Canis lupus familiaris: one gene and its partners. The protein of the gene in region 3 interacts with the protein of the main gene of each other region in a pairwise test. Links are inferred from orthologs where the notes say so. Each region holds a gene or a part of one and is shown on either strand. Other genes may lie near its edges.

The links.
Region 1: the proteins of USHBP1 (region 3) and PRC1 interact in a two-hybrid assay, tested with the Homo sapiens proteins (2 studies listed by BioGRID and IntAct). The link is inferred for Canis lupus familiaris from reciprocal best matches to the Homo sapiens genes USHBP1 and PRC1.
Region 2: the proteins of USHBP1 (region 3) and FAM110A interact in binary tests that used the Homo sapiens proteins (3 or more experiments, as listed by UniProt). The two-hybrid records come from large-scale screens. The link is inferred for Canis lupus familiaris from reciprocal best matches to the Homo sapiens genes USHBP1 and FAM110A.

What each region holds. Positions count from the first base shown.
Region 1 is NC_049224.1:53,738,582-53,742,731, reverse strand, and holds the start of PRC1 (protein regulator of cytokinesis 1), read right to left. Parts: upstream 2,801-4,150; 5' UTR 2,789-2,800; coding exon 2,730-2,788; exon of another isoform or gene 2,462-2,729; intron 2,198-2,461; exon of another isoform or gene 2,071-2,197; coding exon of another isoform or gene 2,060-2,070; intron 1,229-2,059; exon of another isoform or gene 1,214-1,228; coding exon of another isoform or gene 1,191-1,213; intron 1-1,190. UniProt on the Homo sapiens protein: Key regulator of cytokinesis that cross-links antiparrallel microtubules at an average distance of 35 nM. Essential for controlling the spatiotemporal formation of the midzone and successful cytokinesis.
Region 2 is NC_049245.1:20,607,904-20,612,053, forward strand, and holds the start of FAM110A (protein FAM110A), read right to left. Parts: upstream 2,801-4,150; 5' UTR 2,557-2,800; intron 1-2,556.
Region 3 is NC_049241.1:45,884,096-45,888,351, forward strand, and holds the start of USHBP1 (Usher syndrome type-1C protein-binding protein 1), read left to right. Parts: upstream 1-1,456; 5' UTR 1,457-1,593; intron 1,594-1,874; exon of another isoform or gene 1,875-1,932; 5' UTR 1,933-2,006; coding exon 2,007-2,060; intron 2,061-2,157; coding exon 2,158-2,306; intron 2,307-2,519; coding exon 2,520-2,958; intron 2,959-4,256.

The sequences.
Region 1 (4,150 bases), on a different chromosome or scaffold from region 3:
AAAACTACTGGAGAACTAGAAGATTTATTAATTCCAAACACCCATCTTCCAACTGGCCCATTAAGATTTGTTCAAGTAACAGAATCCAAGGGGTGGTTAACCTTTTCATTTTAACAACTATCTGCAGAGTGCTTTTAGTTAGTGGCCCACCTATCCACTGGAGGTTAGTGGTCCATTTGCTGTACAGATAATTGGTTTTTGGTTTTTTTTTTTTTTTTTTTTTTTTTTAAAGATTTTATTTATTTATTCATGATAGTCACAGAGAGAGAGAGAGAGGCAGAGACACAGGCAGAGGGAGAAGCAGGCTCCATGCACCGGGAGCCCGACGTGGGACTCGATCCCGGGTCTCCAGGATCGCGCCCTGGGCCAAAGGCAGGCGCCAAACCGCTGCGCCACCCAGGGATCCCTGGTTTTTGGTTTTAATTGGACCCGAGATCTACAAATCTCATGTCATTTAATTCTGTAAAAAGTAATTTGGCTAATTTTTTTTAAGTTTGTATTTTAATTTATTCATAAGAGACACAGAGAGGGAGAGAGAGAGTGAGAGAGAGGAGAAACAAGAGATTGGCAGAGGGAGAAGCAGGCTTCCTGCAAGGAGTCTGTTGTATCCCTTGATCCCAGGACCCAGGTACCACAGGTGCTCCTAATTTAGCTAACTTAATTAGTAAACATATCTAAGTTTTTCAATTAAGTCACAAACCAAAACAAACTGCAGATTATGTGCTTTTTTTTTTTTTTTTTTTTAATAGAAATAACAGCAGCTACTAGGCAGCCCTGGTGGCTCAGCGGTTTAGCGCTGCCTTCAGCCCAGGGTGTGATCCTGGGGACCCCGAACGAATCCCGCGTGGGGTTCCCTACGTGGAGCCTGCTTCTCCTTCTGCCTGTGTCTCTGCCTCTCTGTGTCTTTCATGAATAAACAAAATTTTAAAAATAAATAAATTACAGCAGTTACTGACATTAATTTTAAAACCCTGGCTGTTGGGCCACCTGAGTGGCTCAGTGGTTGAGCATCTGCCTTTGGCTCAGGTCGTGATCCTGGAGATCCGGGATCGAGTCCCGCATGGAGCTCCCTGCATGGAGCCTGCTTCTCCCTCGGCCTGTCTCTGTCCCTCTCTCTGCGTCTCTCATGAATAAATTAATAAAACCTTTAAAAACAAAACAAAAAACCCTGGCTGTTTTTACAATGGTACCATGATTTGTACTCATTTTCCATTCTCTGGAAGGCAAGCCACCTGAAAAAGAACGATGAGAATTCGAAATTAGGGAAGCAGCAGCAGCTTCTACAGCCACAGAATGATCAGCCTGACCAGTAACTACCAACCAGTAATGAATCATCTCAGTGCCTCACCCACCGCTTTCAGAAAGTAGGGCTAACGTCTTCACCACTCTCCACACAAAAGCCCTATACCCTTGGTATTATTATTTTAGAAAAGTGACATCTCTGTCCTTTTGGAGTTTGCACACTAATAACAACAAAAAAAGTGACAAATAAGCAAACCTTCCAGTAAAGGGCAGTAAGTGCTACGGAGGGAAAAACGGAGCAGAGACCGGTGAAGAGACAGCGGACATTCGGCGTGGCGAGTGACTCCTCAGTGGAGTTTCTGGACTCCCAAGGGAACCCGGCTCCCTGTCCAAGTCGGGGACGTTGGCGCGGCAGCCCACCCCGCGGAGGACACGCGGATCAACGACCTGACGGCGTTATTTAAAGAGAGGCGAGGGAGCGGCCCACCAAGAGCGGCTGCGCCGGTGCCGAGCCGAGAGGCAGCATCTGAGAGGGAGGCAGGCGGGCGGGCGGGCGGGGCTCGCGGACACTTGGAGCGTCGGGGCCTCCCGGGCGTCGGGGTGTGGGGGGCCCCCGCCGGGCCCGGGGCACTGCAGGCCTTGCCCTGCCGCGTCGGGGCCCCTCGCACCTGCGCCAGCTCAGCGCCACCCAGCCCCGCCGGCCGCGCCCCGGCTGCACTCGACGCCCGTTCACGTACGCCCCCGCGCCCCGGGGCCGCCTCGGGGCCCCCCGCTCCCGGGCCAGGCGTCGCTCCCTCGACCCTCCTGCAACCCGCACCTCCTCCTCATGGCGGACGCTCCCAGCAGCCGACCGTCGAGGCCCCAGACCTCCTCCACGCGGAGCTGAGCGCAGCAACCTCGCACACGCACCACAGTCCCGCTCCAAGCCGGGGCTCCGAGCCGTTAGCCCTCCGCGGAATTTCAAATCGAGCCCGAAGGCGGGAGCAGCCCAGCGATTGGCGCCAAGACCCGTCGCTCCTCGCCAAGCCCCGCCCCCTGGCGGCCGCCGGCGCGCGCTGCGTCCTGACGCGCGGGGACTCTGAGCTGCGGTTCCCGCGGTGGGCGTGGGAAGCGATGGCTCTCCCGCTGACGGCGGAGGTCGCTGTCTGCGCATGCGCCGGGTGGAGCCGGCCCGGAGGGACGCCCCGCCCCGCCCCGCCCCGCCCCGCCGGGGATCCTGCCCAATGCCCACCCCACCCCGTCCGGCGCAGTTAGGTTTCGAAGTTCGCGCAGCCCCCTGAGGCCGCCGGGAAGGGGTGGGGACAGCGGCCGCCCTGCGGCAGGAGCTGGCGTTGCGGGAAAGCCTGGCGCTTAGGTCGCTTCCCACGCCCAGTTAGGTGGCCAGCCTGGAGCTGGTATTTGGGAGCTCTCCCCAGGTGCGGGAAGCCGTGCGCTCGAGGGCAGGGGAAGGAACGCCGCACCCTGCTCCCCTCTCCCGGGCCGGGCACCTTTCTAGACCTCCATCCCGTTTACTCTCCACAGCAGCCGCGTTCTGTAGTATCGCCATTCTTACGTAGGAAGAGATCCGTCTCTGGAAGTCTTGAGGGACTTGCCCAGGTCACATGATTGGTACACAAAAGAAGATATGCTTGCCATAGTTCTTTCGGTGAAAACTTTAAAATTCAAAATGGACATCAAAACGATAGAGGTTTATTAAGCAGATAATAGCACTTCAGAGAAAACTCTCAAAAGTGAGAGAGAGGGGTCCCAACAGGGTATCCTTTTTTCCCTGAACATATGCTCCATCCCTAAATGTTTATATAAAACTTTGTATTCAGTGATTCACAATTGCATGATATTGATGTAGGAACAAGTTAGGAGCAGACAGGGCTAGGTAGGAAAAGATAAGGGAAAGGTCTAGAGTCAGGCTTCCAGGAATCTGTGGGTTCCCATAAACCCCAAGGACACCAAAAGGCCCCAGAGGCTCCTACCCATCCGAAGGAAACAGGTAAGACCGTAAAAAAACCAAAAAATCCTGGCTCCCTAGTTCCAAAATGTTAGGGGGTGTTCCCCTTTAATGGCTACTAGGCTCACAGAAACCCCAGATGTAGAGAAATATGGAGGAGCTCTTAACCAGAGAGAAGGGAACACTTGTTTGTGCTTATGATGTTTACAAAGAAACATCTTGTTGTTACAAGTCCACCATGTTTGTTCTAAATAAAGACATGATATATACAAGTCCACCCTGATATGGATAAGAAATTTACCAAGTTCCTGGTCAGTTCCCTATAAAAGACAGACCATAGGGACACCCGCGTGGCTTAGTGGTTGCACCTCTGCCTTTGGCTCAAGGTGTGATCCCGGAGTCCCAGGATCGAGTTCCGCATGGGGCTCCCCGCATGGAGCCTGCTTCTGCTCCCTCTTCTTATGTCTCTGCCTTTCTCTGTGTGTCTCTTGTGAATAAATAAAATCTTAAAAAAACAAAAACAAAACAAAACATAAAAGCCCTTAGTGGCAACCCTGTCAGGACCCCTCTCACTTTTGAGAGTTTTCTATCTTGCTTAATAAACCTCTATGGCTTTGCTCCCTCTGTTGTCCTGGAGATTCGTTCAACTCCATAAGAACCAAGCTCTCCCGTATCATTTTGGTGCCAAAACCTGGGACCTCCCATCAAAGGGTGAGTAAATGTGGACTCTATCCTTTATTTTCTGGAAGATGTCTCTCCTTCGGGTAACCTTTTGTAACAAACAGCAGAACCGGGCACCTGTCAGGCAGTTAAAGGCGAATAGTGCGGCTGTTGGTCTTAAGACTCAGGTGACAGGCTTTTGGAGAAAAATTTAGTCAATCCCCCTTCCCTAAAGAAAGAGAATGTTGGCCTAACCCTAACCAATTCCACTTTCCGTTTTTTGACCTCTGAATTGGCTTTTCC
Region 2 (4,150 bases), on a different chromosome or scaffold from region 3:
GCTTCGACGTTTATAGTTTTCATGACATTCTGCACCCCCCACCCCACCCCTTCCTTCCACCTGCTTCGCTCTTTCCATTCGGCAGAAGCCAGGCCCTGACTTGGGTGGAGACAGGGAGGCCCTCACCTGCCCCAGAGGAGGATCAGGAAGGCTCCAGGCAGCAGGGAGGGGGCCAGCCAATAGGGCAGGCCAGCTCGATTTCAGCCCAGCTGTCCGGGTCAGAGACACCCAGCTGGGCATCCTCCAGGGCCACGCCAGGCTCCGTGCTATTTCTGGAGTCTCCCCAGACACTCATGCCCTGACCTGCTTGCAGTGGGCCTTGCCCAGGGCACACTTGCACACATCTCAGAAAGAGAGAGGTGAGCGGACTGAAGGAGGGCTGTGGGCACAGACGCCTGAAGCACTGATCTTCTATCGGCCAGCGGACAGCTCAGCTCCACCAGCTCAATTATCTGTGCCTCAGTGTGTACCTGAAGTTGCAAAATGAGGACAAACGGGCTTGCAGTGGAGACAGAGACTGCATGCAAAGCCTCAGGGAAGGTCCTGGCTCACAAGGATAGTGAAGGTGGAGGTTGGGGTAGACTCCGGGGCAAGCCCACTTCCTGTCCTGGACTGCCTTCTTCCCAGACCTGAGTTTGCCATCATGGCTTCTTATCTTGGCCCAGAGAGGTGAAGAAACTTTCCCAAAGTCACACAGCAAGTCAATGACAGATCACAGATGGGGCACTGGTCTTATGATCAAATATATCATCTATAATGATTCATATGTATATAATGCAACCAGATGATATATGCCCATGACTCAAAATTCAAAAACTATGAAGAGAATGAAGTAAAAAACAAACTCTTTCCCACCCCTGTCCCCAGCCACCCAGTTCCCCTCCCTGCAGGTGCCACTGTAACCAGACAACTGTGTGTCCTTCCAGGGAGATTTTAGGCAGATCAAGCAATAATGAGTATAAATTCTTTCTATTTTTGTACACATATGGCAACATGCTGTGTGTACTGTATTCACCTTGCTCTTTTTACTCAATAATACATGTTGTTTTAATAATGTTAATATAGTATTAATTCTAATATATGTATTAATATACTTAATAATATATGTTGTCCAAAAATATGTGTGGTGGCACATCAGTAACATAAAGAGCTCGTCAGCCCCTGCTGATGACCATTTAGTGTGTGTCCAGACCTGCCCTATTACAAACCAGCCTGCGGCGTCACTGCACCTACATTGCGTTGCCTAGAAGTGAGACAGCTGGGCTGAGGACGTGCTTGTAATCGTGACAGAGACGGTGTACTGTGTTCCATAGAGGCCATGTGAGTTGATCTCTACCAGCAGAACACGCAGCAAATAGTAACAGTTAGCTTTAGGGCACCTGGGTGGCTCAGTCGGTTGAGCTTCCAAGTCTTGGTTTCCATTCAGGTCATGATCTCAGGGTCCTAGGATCCAGCTTCCCCTCCTCCCCCCTTGAACTCCCCTGCAAAAGGAGGATCTGTTTCTCCTCCCCCTCTGCCTCTGCCCCCTCACCCTCAATCCCCCAACCCACTCCCACACTCCATCTCTCTCTCTCTAAAATAAATAAATCTTTAAGAAAATAATAACTGTTAGCTTTAGTTATCTTGATTAGAGGTTTTGGCACCCCTCAATTTTGCCCGGGAGGCCACCTTAGCCCCTCCTCCTATCACATTCCAGTGGAAGAAGATATCAACTCCCTAATAAGTGAAATACAGAGGACATTAGATGGGCAAATGCCACTGAGAGAAACAAAATAGACAAAGGGGAGGGCAGGGCATGGCATACAAAGTCAATAAATATTTGTTGAAAGAATAAATGAAAGACTTATTTTCTTTCTGAGTTCCCAGAGCATCCCCAGGAGTCAGGGCCTGGTCTACGTATGCTGCTCCAGCCAGAGGTGTCAGCAGCCCCATCCTGAACTCCAAAGTCTCTGCTGACTAGTGGCTTAACGTTCAGTGGCTGCCTTTACCCATTTCCCCCAGCCTGGAGCAGATTCTCAAGAATCTAACAGTGGTTCCAGGGCCAAAGCACCTGCTGCCCACCTAGCACCTAACCAAGACACGTCGGTCCAGTCGGATCCCCCAAAACAGCCCTTTGAGATGGCACTGCGATTCAGTACCCTGTGGGCAGAAGGACCCCAAACGAGCCCTGAATCCAACCTCTGGCGTCCTAGAGAAGGGAAGACAGATGCCCAGAGGGGGCACCCAGGGGGCAATGCAGGAGCGGCGCAGGAGGTAGGTGATCCAGCCTGGGCTCCAGGGCATAGCAGCCTTGCAGGCTGAGGAGCTGACCACCAGTTGAGCGTCTGGACCTCTCCAGGCAAATCTGGGTCTACCCAGACTGGAGATTTCGAGGTGGAGCTGAAAGATGTGAACTGGATTCTCAGCCAGGGATGGGACACTTGCCTCCGGGCGCCTCAGCGTTCTCCTCGGTGAAATGGGGTACCACCTCCTCCCGCACGTACGACGCCGGGAGGACGTATACAGCAGGCGCTCGGCGACCGGACCCCCTCCGACCCAGACCACCCGCCCCCTCACCTGAAGCCCGAGCTCGGCGAGTCCCGGCTCCGCCCGTGCGGGTCTTGGAAGAGGCTGACAGCTCGGACCCGGGCTGGGAATGGCCGCGTCCAAGGCGGCTCGGTGCGCCCCAACCCGGCGTGGGGGCCCGCAGGGGCCTCCTCCGAGCGGCTGCGCGTACCCGAGACGGACCGGGGCACCAGGCTGTCCCCAGGCCCCCGCCGGCCCGGAGGTCCCCGGGGCGCAGAGGAAAGGGAAGTGAGCTCGCCGCTCTCCCCCCGCCGCCCGAATGGTTTGCCCCGGACATCCTGATTGGCTCCTCGCTTCCGTTCGAACGCCGCGCCGCCTGGGTTGCCAGGCGACCGCTTAGCTTGGGCCCCGCGAGCGAGCGCCCAGCCTCGCCCCCCAGCCCAGCGCCGCTCTGCCCCGCCGGCCTGCTGCTCCCGCGGCCGCCGCCGCTCTGGAGCCTGGTTCTCTCCCTTGGCCAGGCCTTCCTCCCGGTCCCCAACACGATGAGGCGCCCTTTGGGCTCCCCAGCTAGTCTCCAGGTCCGCCTTTGCAGCTCGCTGTGTGAGCCCGGGCCAGCCCCTTTCTCTCTCTGTTCCCCTACGTGCTCAGTGGGAAATTGTGAAATGTGCAAACCCAGCAGTCCTGAACTTTACTAAGGAAATGACCAAAGATATGAGCAAAGATTAATATAGCCCAGCGTTATTTGCCATAGCAAAAGAATGGAAATAACTCCAATGCTCAGCAAAAAAAAAAAAAAAAAAAAAAAAGGATTGGTTATATAAAGCCATCCTGCGGAAGAGCTAAGTTTATCTAGCCTTTTACAAATGCTGGGTCTCTTCACATGACATAGCTCCGGTCAGTGCTCATGGCATAACCCTTTGAGATAGGTACCCTTAATTATCCCCACAGTCCCGATGACTGTAATGCAGTCATTAAAAATGATGTAGTTAAAGATATTTAAAGTATGAGGAAAATGCAAAGAAAGCTTTTTAAAAGTATGTTTCAGGGATCCCTGGGTGGCGCAGCGGTTTAGCGCCTGCGTTTGGCCCAGGGCGCGGTCCTGGAGACCCGGGATCGAATCCCACATCAGGCTCCCGGTGCATGGAGCCTGCTTCTCCCTCTGCCTGTGTCTCTGCCTCTCTCTCTGTGCAACTATAATATAAAAATAAAAGTATGTTTCAAAGCACTATGTACACATAACTACATATTAAGTACATAATTGCAATGTCACATGTATAATCATTTATAATAGCAGTTCATTTCTTTGTTGTGCTTTTGTGGATTTTCCACTTTCCAACACTTAAATATGTCAATGGAAAAAACCACAGGTTTTTAAAAAGGATTCGAATAAATGAACTCTAAGCACCCTTTGAGATGAGGAAATTTCACAGCTGTGAGTCACTGTTTGGGTCTAGGGCATTGTTGAATCTGAAGCCAACCTGTTTTCTAATCCAGATGGAGACTTTCATTCTTTGGATTGTCATTGACTGAGCACTTACTATATACATATTTTGGGCCAGTGGGGGAGGGGGACTAATCACCAGCTATCACTAGCTTACAGTGATTGCTCCTTCTGGCATGGGCACCAAACAAATCAGAATAGATA
Region 3 (4,256 bases):
GCTATGCAAGCTAAGTCTACAAGAATGGAGAACTTGCTAGAAAAACAATATGAAAGGCATTCCAGAAAGAAGGAATCGCCTTGGCAAAGGTCCTGAGACTTGCAAGAGCCTTGGAGCGATGGAACCTTTAAGAGGTTAATATGGCTGGAGCAGGGGCGCCTGGGTGGCTCAGTGGTTGAGCATCTGCCTTCAGCTCAGGTGGTGGTCCCAGGATGCTGGGATCAAGTTTCACATCAGGCTCTCCGCGGGGAGCCTACTTCTCCCTCCGCCTTGTTTCTGCCTCTGTGTCTCTCATGAATAAATAAATAAAATCTTTTTTTAAAAAAATGGCTGGAGCAGAGGCTAAGAGTGTAGATTTCAATGTGCCTGGGTGCCCCCAAGTCAGAGAATTGCAACTTATTTCCTTACCAGTTTTGGGGACGCAGAAGCAGGAAGACTCAGCCTCCTCTGTCTGTCAGCGGAATGAGGAAGATTCAGGCTACTCCAGGCTCTGCGCAGTTTAAACCAAGTGTAGGGGCACCTGGGAGGTTCAGTGGTTGAGCGGCTGCCTTCAGCTCAGGTCCTGATCCCGAGGGATCCTGGGATTGAGTCCTGCTTCGGGCTCCCGGCAGGGAGCCTGCTTCTCCCTCTGCCTATGTCTCTGCCTCTCTCTGTGTCTCTCATGAATAAATAAAATCTTTAAAAAATAATAAATAAAAAATAAGCCAAGTGCAGAAACAAGGAAAGGGTTACAGCATAACCAAAGGCCCTGGGATGTGAGAATTGTGAACCTTCACCTGTTCACAGAGGGGTCATCATGGCTAAAGCATGGAGTATACATGGGTGCAGACAGCAGGCATTATTTTTAAGGGCCTCGAATGCCGGGTAGAAGAGCTTGAAATGTTTCCCAAGGGCAATGGGGAGTCATGGAGGGTGTGTGAGCAGAAGAGGTGAACAATGAGGTCTCTGTCTCTGGGGCCTGGGAGGGGAAGGGAGTCAAGGGGTGGGTGGCTGTAGAGTCCACGGAGAGAGAGGGGCTGGCATCCCGGTAGAGGGGAGAGGGTTGGGCTGTTATGGAGGGAGATGACGAGGCCCTTTAGAGATGGATGCAGGAAAAATGGGCAGGATGTAGGGGCGATCTGTGCCCTGAGGAATCCAGGAGAAGCAGCAGCTGGCAGAGGAAGCAGAGATGGGAGGGCCGGAGAGGCAGCGAACAAGAGTGGTGTGTTACAATTCAGTTCTTGGATGGTGCTCAGTCATGTGCAAGTTGCTTGTTAAAATTCCCATGACACTGTAGACAGATCCTATAATTAAAGCCCCCCCCCCCCATTTTACAGATAAGGAAACTGAGGCTCAGAGGCGGAAGAGACATGAGATTGGAGGCTGGGGCAAGGAAGGACCGACAGGTCAGGAGCTGGACATGTGTGTCCCACCGGGACTGGAGGAAGCTGATGTCCTTGAGGAGGAAATAGCACAATAACAAGTCACATGACCAGGGGAGGGGGCTTCCTGTTTCCCGGCCTCTCCCAAGCCAGCCTTGGCCAGCCCGGGGCCTAAGCAAGCAGTGGCCAGAGCTACCCCAAGAGTGTCCAGGGATTTGGGCTGCTGACCAAGGTATTCCTAGAGGTACAGAGGAGTAGCATTAGAGCAGGCTGAGGGGACCCAACCCCAAGATTGGGGCCTCCGACTCAAGAGGACCCTGGGGAGGAGAGGTGATTCTTGAAGTCCTCGAGCCAGGTCCAGATTGGGGACCGAGGGGAGCACAGAGGTAGTGAAAGATAAAGGAGGCAAAAGACAAGGGGAGGTGGGAACAAACTTGTGAGGTAGTGAGCTGCCTGTCAGGAGGGGTATTCAAATGTGCCAGCTCAACACTGGTAATTCAAGATCCCTCCCAGCGGGAGGAGATCGATGCTCATTTCATAGAAGAAGGTATTAAGGCTGTCATTCGCCCAGACCAACAAAGACAAGAGCCGAGATCAGGCTGCGGCTTTCGGAAAAAGAATCAGAGGACTGAATTCTGGACAGCAATGAGTGCCCGGGCCACGCGACCCCGAAGCCGGCGAGGGAGGCACGCGCCACCTGTAAGTGCCCCCTTCCCTGCCGCATCCAGCTCTTTGGGGTCACTCACCCCCTCGCCCCCGGCCTGGCTCGGAGCTTGGCCCTGTGGGTCATTTTCAGGGGGAGCTGGATCCCGTGGCGGAGAGTTCAGAGGAGGCTGAGGCAGCCAGCGGGAGCTCTGAGCTGGGCCCTGTGCCATCTCAGGAGAGCTGCGAGCCGAGGCTGCAGGGGCCAGAGGCAGAGGCCAGTGGGCAGGGCCTTGGGAACAGGTAAGGTCCCCTCCGTCTGGGCTCCCACTCCGGCCCTGGTGTGTCTTTCCTCCCCACAGATCTACCTGTGTTCCTCCCTTGCTCACACACACGCCGTAGCTTCCCACTGCCCTCCTTGCCCAACTTTCAAGGCCCCGGATAATGCACCCTCTGTGAGCCAGCCACCCCAGATGACCCCATTTCCAGAACCTTCTGTCTCTCACTTCACCACAGGACCAACAAAGAGGCTGAGGGGGACTCTAGCAGAGGACTGGCCCCATCTCCCGAGGGACCCCGCAAGCCTGCAGAGGAAGGCCACCAGGCCAGAGATGTAGCTCCACAGGATGGGGAGACTGTCCCCCCCAGGCCTGAAGCCTCTGACGTGTTTCAGGTTCTCCAGCATGCTCTGAGCTCCCTGGAGGCGGCGGCGGCTGCCTGGCGCCGCCGGCCCCCCAGCTGTCCTGGGCCCGGGGAGGCAGAGGACAGAAGTGAGGTGGGACCAAGGCCCTGCTTGGAGCAGGAGGGGGCAAGTGGTTGCCAGAGGGAGGCAGCCAGCCTGGCAGAGAGGAATGACTGGCTACGATTGGCCTTGGGCAGCCGAGAGGAGGAGCTGATTCGCACGCAGGCCTCCCTGCAGGCCATCCAGGGGGAGAAGGAGATGCTGCAGAGAGAGGTGAGGGTCTCGACGTATTGTGCTCTACCTCTGAGGGTTCTCTGTCTAAGGGGGAGGCGGGCCTGGCATAGGCAACCTTCCATTGTTTGTTCATTAGAAAAACTCTTACGGAGGGACGCCTGGGTGGCTCAGTGGTTGACTTGAGTTGAGCCTTTGACTCAGGTCATGATCCCAGGGTCCTGAGATCGAGTCCCACATCAGGTTCCCCACAGGGAGCCTGCCTCTCTCTCTGTGTCTCCTCTGAATAAATAAATAAAATCTAAAAAAAGAAAGAGAAAAACTTTTATGGAGCGTTGACTGCTGCAGAGCCCTGAACAAAGGTGCCTTGCCTTCTTAGATAAGGTGGTCAGAGATGCCCCTTGAGGAGGTGACACTTGAGCCAGGAGGTAAGGGAGGAGCCATGCAAGGATCTGGGGAAAGAGCATGCCAGGCGGAGAAGGAGCTCCCTTCCAGAGGTGGGAGTGTGAGTCAGGGAACAGTGAGCAAGCCAGTGTGGGGGTGAGGGGAGGGCAGGTTAGTGATGGGGGCAGATTTACACGGTCTGTGGGCTTCTGGGAGTTGGGCTTTGGCCCTGAGCCTGGTGGGCTCCTGGGGGGTTCCCCCTCGCCCCCCCACCCTCGCCCTCCCGCGGCAGAAAGGGGCGGGACCTGGTGCCGCGGTCACAGGCGCCCTCTGGTAGGCATGGGAGGAACAGCCGGCGGATCCGCGAGGCACTGGTCCAGACACCAGATGGTGGAAACTGTGGAGGTGGCACAAAGTGGGCAGATTCTGGGTGGTGTCGAAGGTGGAGCTGGCAGGTTTGGGTGTGAAAGCCAGAGAAGGGTTGAGGACAAGTCCTGGTTTGGGGGCCTGCGGGACTGGGAGCCAGAAATGCAGGACCAGGAGCTGTTGGGACCCTAATGAGTTCAAGAAACCCCTGAGCCACCCATGTAGGACCATCAAAGACACAGTTGTGGGGTCAGAATCCAGAGCTCAGGGGAGATGTCAGGACAAGAGAAACACATCCCGACCTCTTTAACATGTGGATGGAATCTAAAGCCATGTGGCTGAAGGAGATGGGGGAACAGGCCCTCATCTTGGGCAGGCCAAGGTGGCAAGATATGGGGCCACCAGAGCCCAGCCTAAGGGGTGGGGCCCACTTCCTGGCTGGGAAAGATGATCCCCGCTCCACATTCCTCTCCTCACCCCCACCCACATTCCTCTCCTCACCCCCACTGCCTCTGGCACCCACCACTCTGTTCTCTATAACTGTGAGTTCAATTTTTCGTTTTGTTTTATCTTAGATCCCAAATATAAGT